Macaca mulatta: one gene and its partner. The protein of the gene in region 1 interacts with the protein of each later gene in a pairwise test. Links are inferred from orthologs where the notes say so. Each region holds a gene or a part of one and is shown on either strand. Other genes may lie near its edges. The genes, in order: SEPTIN1 and AURKB.

The links.
Region 2: the proteins of SEPTIN1 (region 1) and AURKB interact in binary tests that used the Homo sapiens proteins (3 or more experiments, as listed by UniProt). The link is inferred for Macaca mulatta from reciprocal best matches to the Homo sapiens genes SEPTIN1 and AURKB.

The regions. Positions count from the first base shown.
Region 1 is NC_133425.1:28,983,704-28,992,353, reverse strand, and holds the start of SEPTIN1 (septin-1), read left to right. Parts: upstream 1-3,374; 5' UTR 3,375-3,396; coding exon 3,397-3,457; intron 3,458-3,583; exon of another isoform or gene 3,584-3,593; coding exon 3,594-3,667; intron 3,668-3,827; coding exon 3,828-3,918; intron 3,919-4,014; coding exon 4,015-4,101; intron 4,102-4,309; coding exon 4,310-4,433; intron 4,434-4,730; coding exon 4,731-4,865; intron 4,866-4,960; coding exon 4,961-5,078; intron 5,079-6,814; coding exon 6,815-6,916; intron 6,917-7,306; coding exon 7,307-7,406; intron 7,407-7,662; coding exon 7,663-7,828; intron 7,829-8,153; coding exon 8,154-8,244; intron 8,245-8,333; coding exon 8,334-8,420; 3' UTR 8,421-8,650. UniProt on the Homo sapiens protein: Filament-forming cytoskeletal GTPase. May play a role in cytokinesis.
Region 2 is NC_133421.1:9,725,458-9,734,000, forward strand, and holds the start of AURKB (aurora kinase B), read right to left. Parts: upstream 4,733-8,543; 5' UTR 3,929-4,732; intron 3,274-3,928; exon of another isoform or gene 3,202-3,273; intron 2,744-3,201; exon of another isoform or gene 2,533-2,743; intron 1-2,532. UniProt on the Homo sapiens protein: Serine/threonine-protein kinase component of the chromosomal passenger complex (CPC), a complex that acts as a key regulator of mitosis.

The DNA of each region.
Region 1 (8,650 bases):
CTCAGCCTCCCAAAGCACTGGGATTACAGGCATGAGCCATCACGCCCAACTTTTTTTTTTTTTTTTTTTGAGACAGAGTCTCGCTCTGTCACCCAGGCTGAAGTGCAGTGGCACAGTCTCAGCTCACTGCAAGCTCCACCTCCTGGGTTCACGCCATTCTCCTGCCTCAGCCTCCCAAGTAGCTGGGACTACAGGTACCCGCCACCATGCCCGGCTAATTTTTTGAATTTTTAGTAGAGACGGGGTTTCACCGTGTTAGCCAGAATGGTCTCGATCTCCTGACCTCATGATCCGCCTCATGATCAGCCTCCCAAAGTGCTGGGATTATAGGCATGAGCCACCACGCCCAGCCCAACTTTTTTTTTTTTTCCTTTAAACATGTTATTCTGCCGGGCGCGGTGGCTCACGCCTGTAATCCCAGCACTTTGGGAGGCCGAGACGGGCGGATCACGAGGTCAGGAGATCGAGACCATCCTGGCTAACACGGTGAAACCCCGTCTCTACTAAAAAATACAAAAAACTAGCCGGGCGAGGTGGCGGGCGCCTATAGTCCCAGCTACTCGGGAGGCTGAGGCAGGAGAATGGCGTGAACCCGGGGGGCGGAGCTTGCAGTGAGCTGAGATCAGGCCACTGCACTCCAGCCTGGGTGACAGAGCGAGACTCCGTCTCAAAAAAAAAACAAAAAAACAAAAAAAACATGTTATTCTGTCAAAGGCTGTTGAATAACTCAGAGAAGAATTGATCAGGATCTGAACCCAAAGCAGGTTAATGGCATGGAGAGTGTGGAGAAAAGGGGACCAATTTTTCTGAAGGATAGGCGGGAATTGGAAACTCACTGGAAACACTTGCGGGGAGTGAGGGTGGGAGGAGTTCAGATTTTTTTTTTTTTGAGACAGAGTCTTGCTCTGTCGCCAGGCTGGAGTGCAGTGGTGCGATCTTGGCTCACTGCAACCTGCGCCTCCTGGGTTCAAGTGATTCTTGTGCTTCAGTCTCCCGAGTAGCTGGGATTACAGGCATGTGCAACCACACCCAGCTAATTTTTGTATTTTAGTAGAAACGGGGTTTCACCATGTTGGCCAGGATGGTCTCGATCTCCCGACCTCCTGATCTGCCTGCCTTGGCCTCCCCAAATCCTGGGATTACAGGTGTGAACCACCATGTCCTGCTGAGTTCAGAATTTTAACTAAGACCATAGAGATGCTCAGCCTGGTGAGAGATGCAGGAGGAAGGCCGGTGGTGGAGTGCTCAGAGGTAACATGATCCCTGCCCTTTGCTTATTTATTTATTTATTTATTTATTTATTTATTATTTGAGAAAGAGTTTTGCTCTTGTCACCCAGATTGGAGTGCAATGGCACGATCTCGGCTCACTACGACCTCCGCCTCCCAGGTTCAAGTGATTCTCCTGCTTCAGCTCCTGTGTAGCTGGGATTACAGGCATGCGCCACCACGCCCGACTAATTTTGTATTTTTAGTAGAGTCAGGGTTTCTCCATGTCGGTCAGGCTGGTCTTGAACTCCTGACCACAGGTGATCTGCCCGACTTGGCCTCCCAAAGTGCTGGGATTACAGGAATGAGCCACCACGCCCGGCATATTTATTTATTTTTTTGAGATGGAGTCTTGCCCTGTCGCCCAGGCTGGAGTGCAGTGGCAGGATCTTGGCTCACTGCAACCTACGCCTCTCAGGTTCTAGCAATTCTCCTGCCTCAGCCTCCCTAGTAGCTGTGATTACAGGCACGCACCACCACACCTGGCTAATTTTTGTATTCTTAGTAGAGACGGGGGTTTCACCATGTTGGCCAGGCTGGTCTCCAACTCCTGAACTCAAGTGATCCGCCTGCCCTGGCCTCCCAAAGTGCTGGAATTACAGGCGTGAGCCACTGCGCCCAGCTACCCTTTCCAGATTCTTAACAGTCCCTAGATGGTATTAAGTAGCATTTTTGTTTGTTTTTGTTTTTTGAGACGGAGTCTTGCTCTGTAACCAGGCTGGAGTGCAGTGGCATGATCTTGGCTCACTGCAACCTCCACCTCCTGGGTTCAAGCAATTCTCCTGCCTTAGTAGCTGGGACTTAGTACCTTAGTAGCTGGGACTACAGGCACACGCCACCATGCCCAGCTAATTGTTTGTATTTTTAGTAGAGATGGAGTTTCACCATGTTGGCCAGGATGGTCACGATCTCTTGACCTCGTGATCTGCCCAACTCGGCCTCCCAAAGTGCCGGCATAACAGGTGTGAACCACCGTACCCGTCCTGGGGTAGATTTGTTTGCTTGTTTGTTTGAGATAGGGTCTTGCTCTGTCGTCCAGGATGGAGTGTAGCAGTGCAGTCTCGGCTTACTGCAACCTCCATGTCCTGGGTTCGAGCAATTTTCTTGCCTCAGATTCCCAAGTAGCTGGAATTATAGGCACACACCACCACGCTTGCTAATTTTTGTATTTTGCTAGACAGGGTCTCGCCATGTTGGCCAGGCTGGTCTTGAACTCCTGACCTCAAGTGATCCACCCACCTCGGCCTCCCAAAGAGCTGGGATTACAGGCATGAGCCACCATGCCCAGCCTGGTGCTGGGAATCTGAAGAAGGAACAATGACCCTGCCTATGGTAGGTGGGGAGATTGCATAGAGGCAGAGCCCTTGGAAAGAAACACTTGAAGGATGAGGAAGAGTTTAACTGATTCGGAAAAAGGAAAAGCTCAATGTGGGTAGAGAGCCAAGGATGTTTGGAAGAGTGAGAGATGGGGTGATGAGGCCAGCTGAAGGAGGCTTTGGCAGTCAGGCCAGAATTCCGACTTGACTCTGAGTTACTGGGGAGTTCCTAAAGGATTTCGAGCAGCGGAGTTCCTTGGCCAGGATTCTGAAGGAAAATCTCTCCGGCAGTGGTTTCCAAAGATCTGGAGTCCTTTTATGAATCCATTGTCTTAGCTGGAAAATGGATGGCCTTACCCACTCCCAATCCCATCATGGCTTCTGGTCCACTTAAACCATGAGAATTTTTTTCTTTTTCTTTTTTTGAAACAGGGTCTTGCTGTGTTGCTCAGGCTGGAGTGTAGTGGTGTGATCACAGCTCACTGCAGTCTTGATCTCCTGGGCTCATGCAATCCTCCCACCTCAGCCTCCCCAGTAGCTGGGACTACAGGATTGTACCATCATGCCTGGCTAATTTTTAAAGTTTTTGTAGAGATGGTAGAGGGGCACATCCCTCTGTTGCCCAGGGTGGTCTTGAGCTCCTTGGCTCAAGCAGTCCTCCCTCCTCTGCCTCCCAAAGTGCTGAGATTACAGGCGTGAGCCACCTTGCCTGTCCTGGGAACTGGTTTTTAATCAGCTCATCAAAACCTTCATCTCACTTGCTAACAAAGGGAGCCGCTTCCTTCCTCTCTGCACATACCCCATGTCTCACCATGATAATGGAGTTACAGTGGGACTTGGAATCCAGATGTGTGAAAGATGGAGGGGTTGAAGGTGCATAGAGGGGTGATGGGCAAAGGGGTCCAGGAGGTGATAACCCCAGGTATTCTTGGCCTTGGCCTTCCCCACCTCTCTGGGACTGGGCCAGTTTGAGCATCTCAGCTGCCTCTTCTGCCCGCCCACTCGTTAGCCGCACTCAGCTTCCTGCCCCACCAGAGGAAGTGGGGAGAGACGGCAGGTGCAGTGATGGCTGGCGGAGTCATGGTGAGTCCTCATGCCCAGAAACCCAGGCATCTCGGCCCCCAGCCCCCTATGCCTAGGGTCCCCAGACCCCACTGACTCTTCCTAGCCCAGGAACTCAAATGATCCTGGGGACCCTGCCTGCCATTGCCAGCAGCCTCATATTGTCCACCCCCATCCACAGGACAAGGAGTACGTGGGTTTTGCTGCCCTCCCCAACCAGCTGCACCGCAAGTCTGTCAAGAAGGGGTTTGACTTCACACTAATGGTGGCAGGTCTGGGGGGTTTTGGAGAGGGAACTGCAGAGAGGATGCCCTTAGGAGACCCTGGTTGTCCCCTCCCCTGACCAGCTGGGCCTGTTCTGTCCACAGGGGAGTCAGGCCTAGGGAAATCCACCCTCATCAACAGCCTCTTCCTCACCAACCTCTATGAGGATCGCCAGGTGCCAGAGGCCAGTGGTAAGACCCTCCCCACCCTCCCCAGGCAGTGGCCCCTGTCCCCAGGTTACACCCTAGTCTTTTCCATCTGGGGACTCAGGTAGTTGACTACTTTTTTCTGAGACTTTCCTCCCCTGGAAAATGGGTGCAGGCAACTGTGATATTAACAAAGGAAATTAATCTTGCCTCAGAGCCTCCCTGGATCCCTGACCTCTCCCCCCTCCCACAGCTCGCTTGACACAGACCCTGGCCATTGAGCGCCGGGGTGTGGAGATCGAGGAAGGAGGTGTGAAAGTGAAGCTAACCCTTGTGGACACACCTGGCTTTGGGGACTCAGTGGACTGCTCTGACTGGTGAGGAAGAGGGAAGGGGACAGAGGCTCAGCCTCTCACAGTGGCGACTCCCTGAAGACCAACGGGTCAGTTACAGGGCTGGTTTGTGCTGGCTCCCTATTCCAAAAGGTTGTGTCTGTTTCAGAGGGTCACTGGGTCTCTGTGCTTCTTGATGACTCGCCTAGGCCCCCACCAGTTCCCTTTAATGTCTTTGGAGGGAGCCAAAGAAATGATGTTCTATTCCCACAGTCCTGGCTAGCCTCGCCCCCTGCCCTCTGGCCTTTGATCTCTGACTTCACATCCTCTTCCCACACCCAGCTGGCTTCCCGTGGTGAAATTCATCGAGGAGCAGTTTGAGCAGTACCTTAGGGATGAGAGTGGCCTGAACCGGAAGAACATCCAGGACTCCCGCGTCCATTGCTGCCTCTACTTCATCTCACCCTTTGGCCGGGGGTCTGGTGGGGGGATCCTGGGGGCTGGGGCATTTAGGGAGGGCTGGGGGGGTCTCTGCCCCCTGAGGCTGGGCACTGACCAATCCCTGGGTGCAGGCTCCGGCCCCTAGATGTGGCCTTCCTTCGGGCGGTACACGAGAAAGTCAACATCATCCCAGTCATTGGCAAAGCGGATGCCCTGATGCCCCAGGAAACCCAGGCCCTCAAGCAGAAGGTGTGAGTGATGACCTCTGGCCTTTGACCCCAAGTGAGGCCAAACCTGATTTCAGCTTAGACTTCTTTGATCTTATTATTATTTTTTTTTGAGACGGAGTCTCCCTGTGTCGCCCAGGCTGGAGTGTAGTGGCGTGATCTCGGCTCACTGCAAGCTCCGCCTCCCAGGTTTTCACCATTCTCCTGCCTCAGCCTCCTGAGTAGCTGGGACTACAGGCGCCCGCCACCGTGCCCGGCTAGTTTTTTGTATTTTTTAGTAGAGACGGGGTTTCACCATGTTAGCCAGGATGGTCTCGATCTCCTGACCTCGTGATCCGCCCGTCTCGGCCTCCCAAAGTGCAGGGATTACAGGCTTGAGCCACCGCGCCCAGCCGACTTCTTTGATCTTAAAGTGGCCTTTTTGGAGCATAGTGTCTCAGGCTAGATTGTAGGAGAAGCTTCTGAGGAATGTGGGTGGTAAGCTGCCAGCCAGCGTAGCCATGTCTCTGAAGGCTCAAAATAGGCTAGATATGCAGCCCCTGGGCTAGATGCCTGGCTAAGGCCTATTTGAGGGCGGGAGCATAGACATAAGAACATGGTGACTTCCATCTGGCCCCCACCCCGTGTCTTCAGAGCCCTTTTCCACTGTTTCTGCTTATATATCTCTCAGCCTCTCTCTCTTTTTTTTTTTTTTTTAGATAGAGTCTCACTCTGTGGCCCAGGCTGAGTACAGTGGCAAGATCATAGCTCACTGCAGCCTCAAATTTGTAGGCTCAAGTGATCCTCCTGCCTCAGCCTATTGAATAGCAGGGACTACAGATGAGCACCACCATGCCCAGCTAACATTTTTGGCTGGGCGTGGTGGCAGACACCTGTAATCCCAGCACTTTGGGAGGCTGAGGTCAGTGGATTACTTGAGCTGAAGAGTTTAAGACAAGCCAGGGCAACATGGCAAAACCCCATCTCTACAAAAAATATAAAAATTAGCCAGGTGTGGTGGTGTGCACTTGTAGTCCCAGCTATTCAGGAGGCTGAGATGGGAGGATCACCTGAGCCTGTGAGGTTGAGGCTGCAGTGAACCAAGATGGAGCCACTGGACTCCACCCTGGGTGATAGAGTGAAACCTTGTTTCAAAATATATATATATTTTTAGGCCGGGCGCGGTGGCTCAAGCCTGTAATCCCAGCACTTTGGGAGGCCGAGACCGGCGGATCACGAGGTCAGGAGATCGAGACCATCCTGGCTAACCCAGTGAAATCCCGTCTCTACTAAAAAATACAAAAAACTAGCCGGGCGAGGCGGCGGGCGCCTGTAGTCCCAGCTACTCGGGAGGCTGAGGCAGGAGAATGGCGTGAACCCGGGAGGCGGAGCTTGCAGTGAGCTGAGATCCGGCCACTGCACTCCAGCCTGGGCGACAGACCGAGACTCCGTCTCAAAAAAAAAAAAATAAATAAAAAAAAATAAAAAATATATATATATATATATATTTTTTTTCTTTGTAGAGATGGGATCTAGCTATATTGCCCAGGCTTCTCCTGGTCTCTTAATGTCTGCCCCATATTAGAATCTTGTGTTTCTCACCATCTATGTCTCTGAGATTTTGTTTTTGTCTTCCTGTACGTCCATCTCTCCCCATCTCTGTCTTTCATGTCTTTCTGTCTCTGACCAGCCAGTATCTCTGTGTCTCCCTGTCTCTGGTCATGCAATGTCTGTCATTGTGGCCTGTTTCACACTGTCTCTGTATCTGTTTCCCCTGAGATCCGGGATCAGTTGAAGGAGGAGGAGATCCACATCTACCAGTTCCCTGAATGTGACTCTGACGAAGATGAAGACTTCAAGAGGCAGGATGCAGAGATGAAGGTGTGGGAGACAAAGAAGGAAGGCAGGCTGGGCACGGTGGCTCACGTCTGTAATCCCAGCACTTTGGGAGGCTGAGGCAGGCGGATCCCCTGAGGTCAGGAGTTCGAGACCAGCCTGGGCAACATGGCGAGACCCCGCCTCTACTAAAAACACAAAAATTAGCCAGGTGTGGTGGCGGGCACCTGTAATTCCAGCCACTCGGGAGGCTGAGGCAGGAGAATCACTTGAACACTCCAGCCTGGGCAATGGAGCGAGACCCTGTCTTAAAAGAAAAAAAAAAATAAAGAGGAAGGGGCAGGAAGCAGAGGAGGTGGGTGTGGAGATTGAAGCTGGGAAAGAGAAAGTTTCTGCCATGTGGGCCAGCGGTGACCCCTGCCCCCTGCCCTCCAGGAAAGCATCCCTTTTGCAGTCGTGGGTTCATGCGAGGTGGTGAGGGATGGCGGGAAGCGACCGGTGAGGGGACGCCGCTACTCCTGGGGGACCGTGGAGGGTGAGTGAGGCCAGGCAGGGTTCCTAAGGCCAGCAAGGAGCCCGGGGCCTCTGGGTCAGGCGCACTCAACATGTGAAGTTGGGGTGGGCTTTGGTCCCAGGGGATCCTAGGGGGAAAGGGGTTCTCCTTTCCATGGGCTGCAGACCGCGGACCCTCCGCCAGAGTGGCAGCAGGACTTCCCTGTTGACCCGACCCTACGGGTGGGTGGGACCCGAAACTCCCTGACGTTCGCTGGTCCGCGCCGCCCCCCCTCCAGTGGAGAACCCACATCACTGCGATTTCCTGAACCTGCGACGGATGCTGGTGCAGACACACCTGCAGGACCTGAAAGAGGTGACGCACGATCTGCTCTACGAGGGCTACCGGGCCCGCTGCCTACAGAGCCTGGCCCGGCCTGGGGCTCGCGATCGAGCCAGCCGCAGGTGAGACCCGGGGCCGACAGTCTCGGAGCCTCCAAGGTCCCGCCTCACCCAAGACCCTGCCCTGAGGCCCCGTCCCCACCACCCGTGAGTCCGCCTTCACCACTCAGACCTCTCTCTCCCTCCCTCCCTCTCTCCCTCCCTCCCTCTCTACCTTCCTCCCTCTCTCCCTCTCCCTCTCTCCCCACCGGCTTTGCCTCCGGCCCTAACCTCAGGGACCTGGCTCCGCCTCCTAGACCCCAACCTCACCCCAGGCCCTGCCTCCTGGGCCTCACCCACAACCTCAGGCCCTGCTCCTGATTCCTGTCCCCTTCCCACTGTCCCGCAGTAAGCTTTCCCGCCAAAGCGCCACGGAGATCCCGCTGCCCATGCTGCCTCTGGCGGACACCGAGAAGCTGATCCGCGAGAAAGACGAAGAGGTGAGCATGCACCTCGCTTCCCCCCGACAGAGGCCCCAGGTCCCTCGCTGGCCTCGCCAGGTCACCGCCTGCAATCTCGCCCTGCACAGCTGCGCCGCATGCAAGAGATGCTAGAGAAGATGCAGGCCCAGATGCAGCAGAGCCAGGCCCAGGGCGAGCAGTCAGACACCCTTTGAGGCCACGCCCCGCCCGGCCTTACCTCGGCTCCGCCTTCAGTCGGCCTCTTGTCCAATCCCCGCGCCCCACACTGCCCAGCGCCCCCTGGAACCCCGTGGGTGCCGCCCTCGCGCGGGCTAGGGGGAGGTTCTACCAGCCCGGGCCCGTAGCCCCGCCCCGGCGCTGGTCCCGCCCACCCAGACACCGCCCACTTCCCGGCCGGAGCCTGCGGCCCAGTCTCCGACCGCCC
Region 2 (8,543 bases), on another chromosome or scaffold:
CTGGGTGACAGAGCTAGACTCCATCTCGAAAAAAAAAAAAAAAAGGCCAGTTGTGGTGGCAGGTACCTGTAGTCCCAGCTACTCAGGAGGCTGAGTGAGGCACAAGAATTGCTTAAACCTGGGAGTGTTGCAGTGAGCTGAGATCACGCCACTGCACTCCAGCCTGGGCAACACAACAAGAATCTGTCTAAAAAAAAAAAAAAAGGCCGGGCGCGGTGGCTCAAGCCTGTAATCCCAGCACTTTGGGAGGCCGAGACGGGTGGATCACGAGGTCAGGAGATCGAGACTATCCTGGCTAACACGGTGAAACCCCGTCTCTACTAAAAAATACAAAAAACTAGCCGGGCGAGGTGGCGGGCGCCTGTAGTGCCAGCTACTCGGGAGGCTGAGGCAGGAGAATGGCGTGAACCCGGGAGGCGGAGCTTGCAGTGAGCTGAGATCCGGCCACTGCACTCCAGCCTGGGCGACAGAGCGAGACTCCGTCTCAAAAAAAAAAAAAAAAAAAAAAAAAAGACCCAATTTTTCCTCTGCCCTCACACCACAGCAATCAACACAGGAGACTTCTGCGACCACATGTGTGGGGATTTTACTCCACTACCAAGCAAGCAATAGTTCTGCAGCAGCCATCAGCCGGGAGTCTTCCAATTCGATTCTGACACTATCTACCTGGAGAGAGCATCAGATCCCACAGGTTGACGGCTTAGTCCCACAAGGCTGCCCCTCACTTTGGATGCCAACCACAAGCCTCAGGTTGTTTTACCTGTACTTATGACTAACTAGGTATAAGTTGGGGTTTCTACAATTCTCTCTTTATGTTCAATGAATTTGCTAGAGTGGCTCACAGAACTCAGGGAAAAATGTTCACTAGTTTATTATAAAGGATTTTTTTTTTTTTTTGAGATGGAGTCTCTCTGCCGCCCAGGCTGGAGTGCAATGGCGCAATCTCGACTCACTGCAAGCTCCGCCTCCCGGATTCAAGTGATTTTCCTGCCTCAGCCTCCCCAGTAGCTGTGACTACAGGAGCCCGCCACCACGCCTGGCTAATTTTTGTATTTTTAGTAGACATGGAGTTTCACCACGTTGGCCAGGCTTGTCTTGAACTCCCATCCTTGTGATCCATCCACTTCGGTCTCCCAAAGTGCTGGGATTACAAGCCTATATTCCCAACACTTTAGGAAGCTGAGGCGGGAGGATCACCTGATGTCAGGAGTTTGAGACCAGCCTGGCCAACATGATGAAACCCCGTCTCTACTAAAAATATTTTTTAAATGGCTGTGCATGGTGGCTCACGCCTGTAATCCCAGCACTTTGGGAGGCCGAGATAGGTGAATCACCTGCACTCTACTGCACTCCAACCTAAGTGACAGAGTGAGACTCCATCTCAAAAAAAAAAAAAAAAAGAAGCTAGTTATCAACTACCACTACATGACCAGTTAGAGAAACAAGGACTGTAAGTGTATTTCCCTTTTTTTTTTTTTTTTTTTTTTTTGAGACGAAGCCTCACTCTGTCCCCCAGGTTGGAGAGTAATGGCATGATCTCAGCTCACTGCAACCTCCGCCTCCCAAGCTCAAGTGATTCTCCTGCCTCAGCCTCCCAAGTAGCTGGGATTACAGGCATGTGCCACCATGCCTGGCTAATTTTTTTGTATTTTTGGTAGAGATGGGTTTCACCATGTTGGCCAGGCTGGTCTCAAACTCCCGACCTCAGGTGATCTGCCCTCCTTGGCATCCCAAAGTGCTGGGATTATAGGCATGAACCACCCCGCCCCACCGGTTTTGTTTTTCGATTTACTGGAAGCAGCCAAAAGGCACGTGGTCCTGGGCTTCTAGTGACTGCTGGGAAGTCTGGAGAAAGGTAGTATTTGTATTTAATATCCTTGTGTTCAGTGTTAAGTAAACATACATAGAACAGCAGAGATTATTAAAAACATTTAAAAAGGCTGGGCACGGTGGCTCACACCTGTAATCCCAGCACTTTGGGAGGCCCAGGCGGGCGGATCACCAGAGGTTGGGAGTTCGAGACCAGCCTGACCAATATGGAGACACCCCCTCTCTACTAAAAATACAAAATTAGCCGGGCGTGGTGGTGCATGCCTGTAATCCCAGCTACTCGGGACGCTGAGGCAGGAGAATCCTTTTGAACCCATGGCTGGAGGTTGCGGTGAGCTGAAATAGTGCCATTGCATTCCAGCCTAGGCAACAAAAGAGAAACTCCATCTCAAGGGAAAAAAGATACAAACAAACAATAATAATTGAAAAAAATTCTTAAAAAATTTCCATACAACAGTAATTTTTTTAATTTTTAAATTTATTTTTACTTTTATAGACTTTAGGGGTACATGTGCAGTTTTGCCTCAGGGATATATCACATAGTGCTGAAAGTCTGTACCCAACTGAAATTGTACCCAACTTCTGAATAACGTTCACATTTGTCTCATTCCCCTCCTATCCTTCTACTGAGGAGGTTTTTTTTGTCCTGTCCCTAAAAATGTCACCGTAAATCTATTTGATTAGGGAAAACAATGTTTGGTTTGACCCCGACGTGATTTGAACACGCAACCTTCTGATCTGGAGTCAGACGCGCTACCGTTGCGCCACGAGGCCTGCCCGAGAGGGTGACTTGAGGGGTCTCTTGAACAGCAATAAGGGGAGGACTTTTGTCATGAAGCCGTATCTTTAAGATTTGTCAGCGCATTTCTGCGAGGCACCAGCTGACGAGATGTGGGCGCACGTACGTAGGAATCTGAATAAATAATAAAGAGGCAAATTGTGTTTAGGCGCATTTGACTTAGGGCCCAGTTCCTTAACTTGAATCACATTGAGCTCATTGAGCCCACTCTACAGAGAAGCGATTTTTATGCGTCTAGGACTCTTTTTTTTTTTTTTTTCTGGAGATGATAAATCATCATGATGCCGCTGCAGTTCTCGCCCCCTGGAGAGATCTTAGATGTAATCCCAGCTCTGCCGGTGACTCAACTTCTTTGGACCTTGGTTTCCTCGTCTGTAGACTGGGCATAACCCTACAGGTTCATGTGGGGTGGCGCGCACTAGCGGTAAAGGTCACGCACAATTGCGCCGGGCAGACGACAGCAGCCATTACTTTTACCTGGATCTCGCTGATGCTGTTTCCCTGGCTCCGCACGGGTCCAACGCGACTCACCGCAATCAACATGAGGTATGAAAGAAAACAGCAGTACCTAAGCGTTGGTGGTATAGTGGTGAGCATAGCTGCCTTCCAAGCAGTTGACCCGGGTTCGATTCCCGGCCAACGCAAGTGCATTTTGAATTTTTTTTTTTCCCTCTTTTCTTTCTCGTGTTTTCTGGGCCCCACCATCGTTGAGGATTTTCGTGAGGTTTTCCTGAGGAACCGTCCTCTCCGAAAGAACCCGCTTTCCGCTACACCTGCGACCACTGCCGGACCACCGCGCTCCTGGCGGATGCGCCCTGCAAGCCCCTCCAGGTGAGAGCAGCCTGTCGGAATTTCGGCCCGGGGTTGCCTACTGTTCCCGGATCGCAGTGCGAATCCACAAAACGCAGGGAGGTGAAAGGAAACAAAAGCCCGGGCTCTGCACCCTGGACAGCCGGGGGCCAAATGGCTGCTTGCCCAGGTTCAAGCAGAGACTGGAAATGCGCACTGCCGTCAAGGAGGGAGCAAGCTAGATCAAGTTTGAGCACTAATGAACATATTGAGCGGAGGAGATAGTGGCCACTTTAGGTACACGTTTGAACTCCAAGTTGCTTGAACTAAAATGGAAACTTAGAATGCGAGCTGGAGAGGTAGGCCAAACTTTCCTCCCCTCCTCCTTTCCCTCTTTTTTCTAGCTCCATCCCAGGGGCCAGGACGGATTTAATGAAAGCAAAATCATTTGGATTCTCCCCCTCGGGGAATGGAACCCCGGTCTTCCGCGTGACAGGCGGGGATACTCACCACTATACTAACGAGGAGTGACCCGTCAATGGTCGTCTCCAAATCCTTGATCTGGGACTTTACACTCGGCTTGCTGACAGCAGAGTTCCTAAGGGTTCTGTTCTTCCGACCACCGAGAAAAGCCGACCAGAAACTGTAGGTGTATTTCAGGCACCCATCGTCAGACGGAGTGACCGAAAGAGACAGAGTACCTCCAGGGCTGCAGAGAACCAAGTTCTGACAGTTCCTGGGCTCTCCCGAACACTGTCATCCACAACTATAGATTGATGGGTGTCAATCAAACCGAAACCAGGCTGTAGTGGCGGAGTTGAGACACCACGCAGGAAGTCAAGAAGCAGAAAGGGAGCGTCCTGCCCAAGTCTGGGCGTGCCTCGTCTCTTCCTGACATGCCAGGCGGGTCTGGGGACTGAGATTCTTTCTGTTACCCCGGTGCCACAAAAGAGCTTACTGTACATTGATGATTTCCAGTGAAGCCTCCTGCAGCGCTGGTCAGGTAACACATTCCTTGAAGACACTCTTATTTCAGCAAAACGTAAAGGAGGGCTCGTCCGGGATTTGAACCCGGGACCTCTCGCACCCGAAGCGAGAATCATACCCCTAGACCAACGAGCCGACGTACGAATGCCGTTGCGAACCGCCCTAGAGGTCGTGCCAGGCTAGCTGTAGTGCCGGGTCCACTATGCATGGCAGAACGGTCCTGGCGCCGCTCAGGAACCAGCCTCCCCCAAGCCTAGTATTTTGGAGCACGGGTCTGGGAGTCCCTTGGCTCTGGGCCGCCAGCTCCAACTCCTCCCAGGAAATAGCGTCGAGGAAGTGGAAGGGAGTGGCCTCAGCCTAGCCCCCGCGCCGCCCTGGAGGACTGCCTTGAACACCCGGGTTCCTGCTTCCTTTGGTCACCGACTCGGTGCCATTCCGTAACCTGGGATCTTGACAATTCCCGCCTCCGCCTGCGGTCCTTGGACCTAGTCCTTCGTTGCAGAGCTTTGAAGAGAAGCGGTGGAGTTGCTTGCTTTCGGGACGGGTCGGAGACAGTTAATGAGCCTTGAAATCACTAGGGGAACACCAGTTCCCCGTGTCTGTCTATCCTCCTGGGCTAACGGGCAGGGCAAACCCCGGGCCAGACCCGTCGATAGACTACGGGTTCCCCAGACCGCGTGGCAGTGCCCAGGCGAGGGAAAGAGGGAACGATTTCTGGGGCCCAGGAGACCCACGGTGGAGGGCGTTATTGATCTGGGTGACTGGAGTGGGACAGGCTTTCCACCCTGCAGTGGGGCGGGGCGCAAGGCCAGGCGACTAGTCTCGTGGCTTCTGGACTGTAAGATCAGGTTACCCCTACCCTCCGGTCTAACCTCTGCTCTCCAGTCCCCTCCTAGAATGGCCTAGAAGGAGACCTTCCTGCCTGCCTCCTAAGACCCCCCCGAAGGCTCTGAGGCAAGTGGCCTCACGAGTGTGGTCTAAGACCTGTAGACCCGGTTTGGGGACTTAGCAGTACTCCGGAGCTGCCCAGAGTCCCAGAAGATCTGGTGGAGTCAGTAGCAGACCACGTGTTCTGCCTTTCCTCAGCTCAGTGCCTGTTCTGGGGAGTCCTCCCCGCGGGGTTCTGGCCTGCATCGGTCCTGGACCAGCCTGGTAGCATCTCTGGAACCATTTTGTTCTACACCCCAGTTATGTGATTTGTGGGGCCAGGCCGTTCCTAACGCCCAACCCATAGATACGTTGACGGGGCCTTCAGTGAAGGATTCAGCTCCTATTTGTCCTTTCCCAGGTGTCCCTGGGCAGACAGTGGGGAAGGGCAGAAGTTAGCCCAGTCTTTCCCATTAGTGTCCTAAGTCTTTGAGACGGGTAAAGAGGTTCTCAGGGCTGATCTGGCATCTCCTCCCCCATCCCTACCCTTTTCCAATTCCTGTCTCCCTCCCCTTGGGCTCCAGCTTTCTCTGCAAAATAATCCAGTCACCTCTTTCTTCCCTGGTCTGAAGAACTTAATCTCTGCAGAAGGGGAGGCCTAAATCCTTTATGACCCTTATGAAAGCTATGACCCTCTTCCCCGGGGGCGGTGGCTCACACCTGTAATCCCAGCACTTTGGGAGGCTGAGGCGGGTGGATCACAAAGTCAGGAGTTCAAGACCAGCCTGGCCAAAATGGTGAAACACCGTCTCTACTAAATATACAAAAATTAGCCCGGCACGGTGGCACGCGCCTGTAATCCCAGCTACTTGGGAGGCTGAGGTAGGAGAATTGCGCAAACCCAGGAGGCAGAGGTTGCAGTGAGTCAATATCGTGCCACTGCACTCCAGTCTGGGTGACAGAGTGAGATTCCATCTCAAAAAAAAAAAGCTATGGCCCTCTTCCTAGATATGTATACAATCCAGAGAGTTCACACATACCCTGAAATCCCATCCGCATACCCCACACTTTTATTATTTTAAAAGTGCGTACATAGACCCCACTTTTAGACCCATCTTACGTTGGTTTGTGGGCCATGGAATTGTGTCGAGAGCTTTCTGCCTATCTTCCAAGGAGGTTTAGGTCCTGCCAAGACCCCACAGATCCTATTTCTTGCCTTCTCTCCTGCATTTATTTCTACCTTAACCAGCCTAGCTTCAGTGCTCCAGAAGCGTGCCCTGCCCTTCCACACCAGGCTTCCTAGGGACTCCCGAATGACACGCTTTCTTGTCTCTGTCCACATGGCCTTAGGTTTCCGCACCCTCCTGCAGGAAACCTGGTGCCAGGCCAAGCCAGCCGGATCCCTGCTTACTCCTTACCCTGACATCCCGCTAGTGGAGAGGGATGGAGGTAACTGCATGTGAAAGACCAGTTAGAGAACCGCATCTAGAAGCTGTGCCAAATTTTAAACACTGTATATATAAATATATATTACATACTATATGTATAATATAAAATTATGAGCCACCAAACCCAAATAAACATAATGAAGAGCCAAACAAAACAAAGTGGCTCAGGTTCTAGGGAATGTCCTAGGGTAGGGAAAGAGGCCTGGAAGGTGGGCAGCCTCTTCCGTCAAGGGTAGGGCAGCCACCAGACCCAGTCCACCTGCACCAGTAGGGTGTGGCATCAGTTGGGCAAAGTACCCTTACGCCTATGCAGCATTTCTGCCCCAGTTAGAGAACCACCTTTTAGAGTGGCGATATCATAGGAGTGGCAAGTCGACTCAGCAGGAAATTTGGGTGCTCTGAGTGCAGAACAGAAACTCTTGCGCGTTCTGATATAAAAACAATCCATGAATCTATTAAGGGATGAGGATTCAGCTGCAAAATTACGCTATTTCAATTGAATAAAGGCACCGCTGGGATTCGAACCCAGGATCTCCTGTTTACTAGACAGGCGCTTTAACCAACTAAGCCACGGCGCCAAGGCTGCCCTTAAGGATTTTGAAATTCGTCTACAAGAATATACTGCGGGGAACCTGGACCCAGGTTTTTCAGACCTAATTCAGATTAGAATTAATTTGGTAAGTAAACTGGCTCTTGCATCACTCATCCATTCCTGGGATTTCCTTCAATTTTGAAAGAAGTTAATACATTTCAAACCAAAATCATAGCCTCCAAATCAAATTCTCGATTCTAGAATTCCTAGATGATAGGTTTGGAGGGTGCCGACTGGCTCATCCCGTCCTGGAGGAGAGAAATACGGTCAGAAAAATCTCACGTAGTCGGCAGGATTCGAACCTGCGCGGGGAGACCCCAATGGATTTCTAGTCCATCGCCTTAACCACTCGGCCACGACTACAAGGCCTCTTTCCTTAGTTTCATCCAATGCCTTTCTTACTTCCCTTGACTCAACAACATCTGCCTCCAACGAGTTTCCAGGGAAGAAAAGACGCGGCGGCTGCACGGGAAACTTCCTTTCACCTGGGTGCTCAGAGGCACCTCCCTTCCAAACCTTCGGGAGCGCTGGTGATTCAGGGAATAAATAAGCAGCAGTAGGTGTAATGTAATTCTGTTATCAGAAAGCAACTAGCTCTGGGCAGAAACTTCCGGACAACAGCACAAGGTTAGAAAACAACAAACCACCCTCTGGCCCGTACGGGGCTCGAACCCGCGACCTTGGCGTTATTAGCACCACGCTCTAACCAACTGAGCTAACCGGCCAGTTGTTAATATGACCTACCTCGAATCTTAATATAGGATATTACTGCCATAAAAGTGTGTAAACACCAACATATGGGCTTAACCATGCTCTGAAGGTCTCCCAAATATGAACGAATCCTAATAGCCAGGAAGAAATGGCCTCCCAGTAGCTCTGAAAGATGTGCCTCGGATCATCTTTCCACCTCTCTATCAGCCCCCAGTAAAGAAATGCGGCAACACCAGCCAAATGCATGGATAGCTCCAAAGAACTGCTCCTAGATCCCCTAATTCTGTGGTTGTGATTTTAGAGTACCTTCTGGTCTCATGGTACATTGATCAAGGATCTGCCTTAGGCCGGGCCCTCGGGAAACCTACAGGACTGACCCTAGCCTGGGGCCCTATAGCACAGGCATCCAGGGTCCTCACCTGGCCCTCCTCGTGCCTGGCACTTGCCTCCCCCTACCCCATCTTTGTGCTTGTGAACACCTTTAGGCATTCATATTTGACTTCCTGCAGGGCCCAGCCTT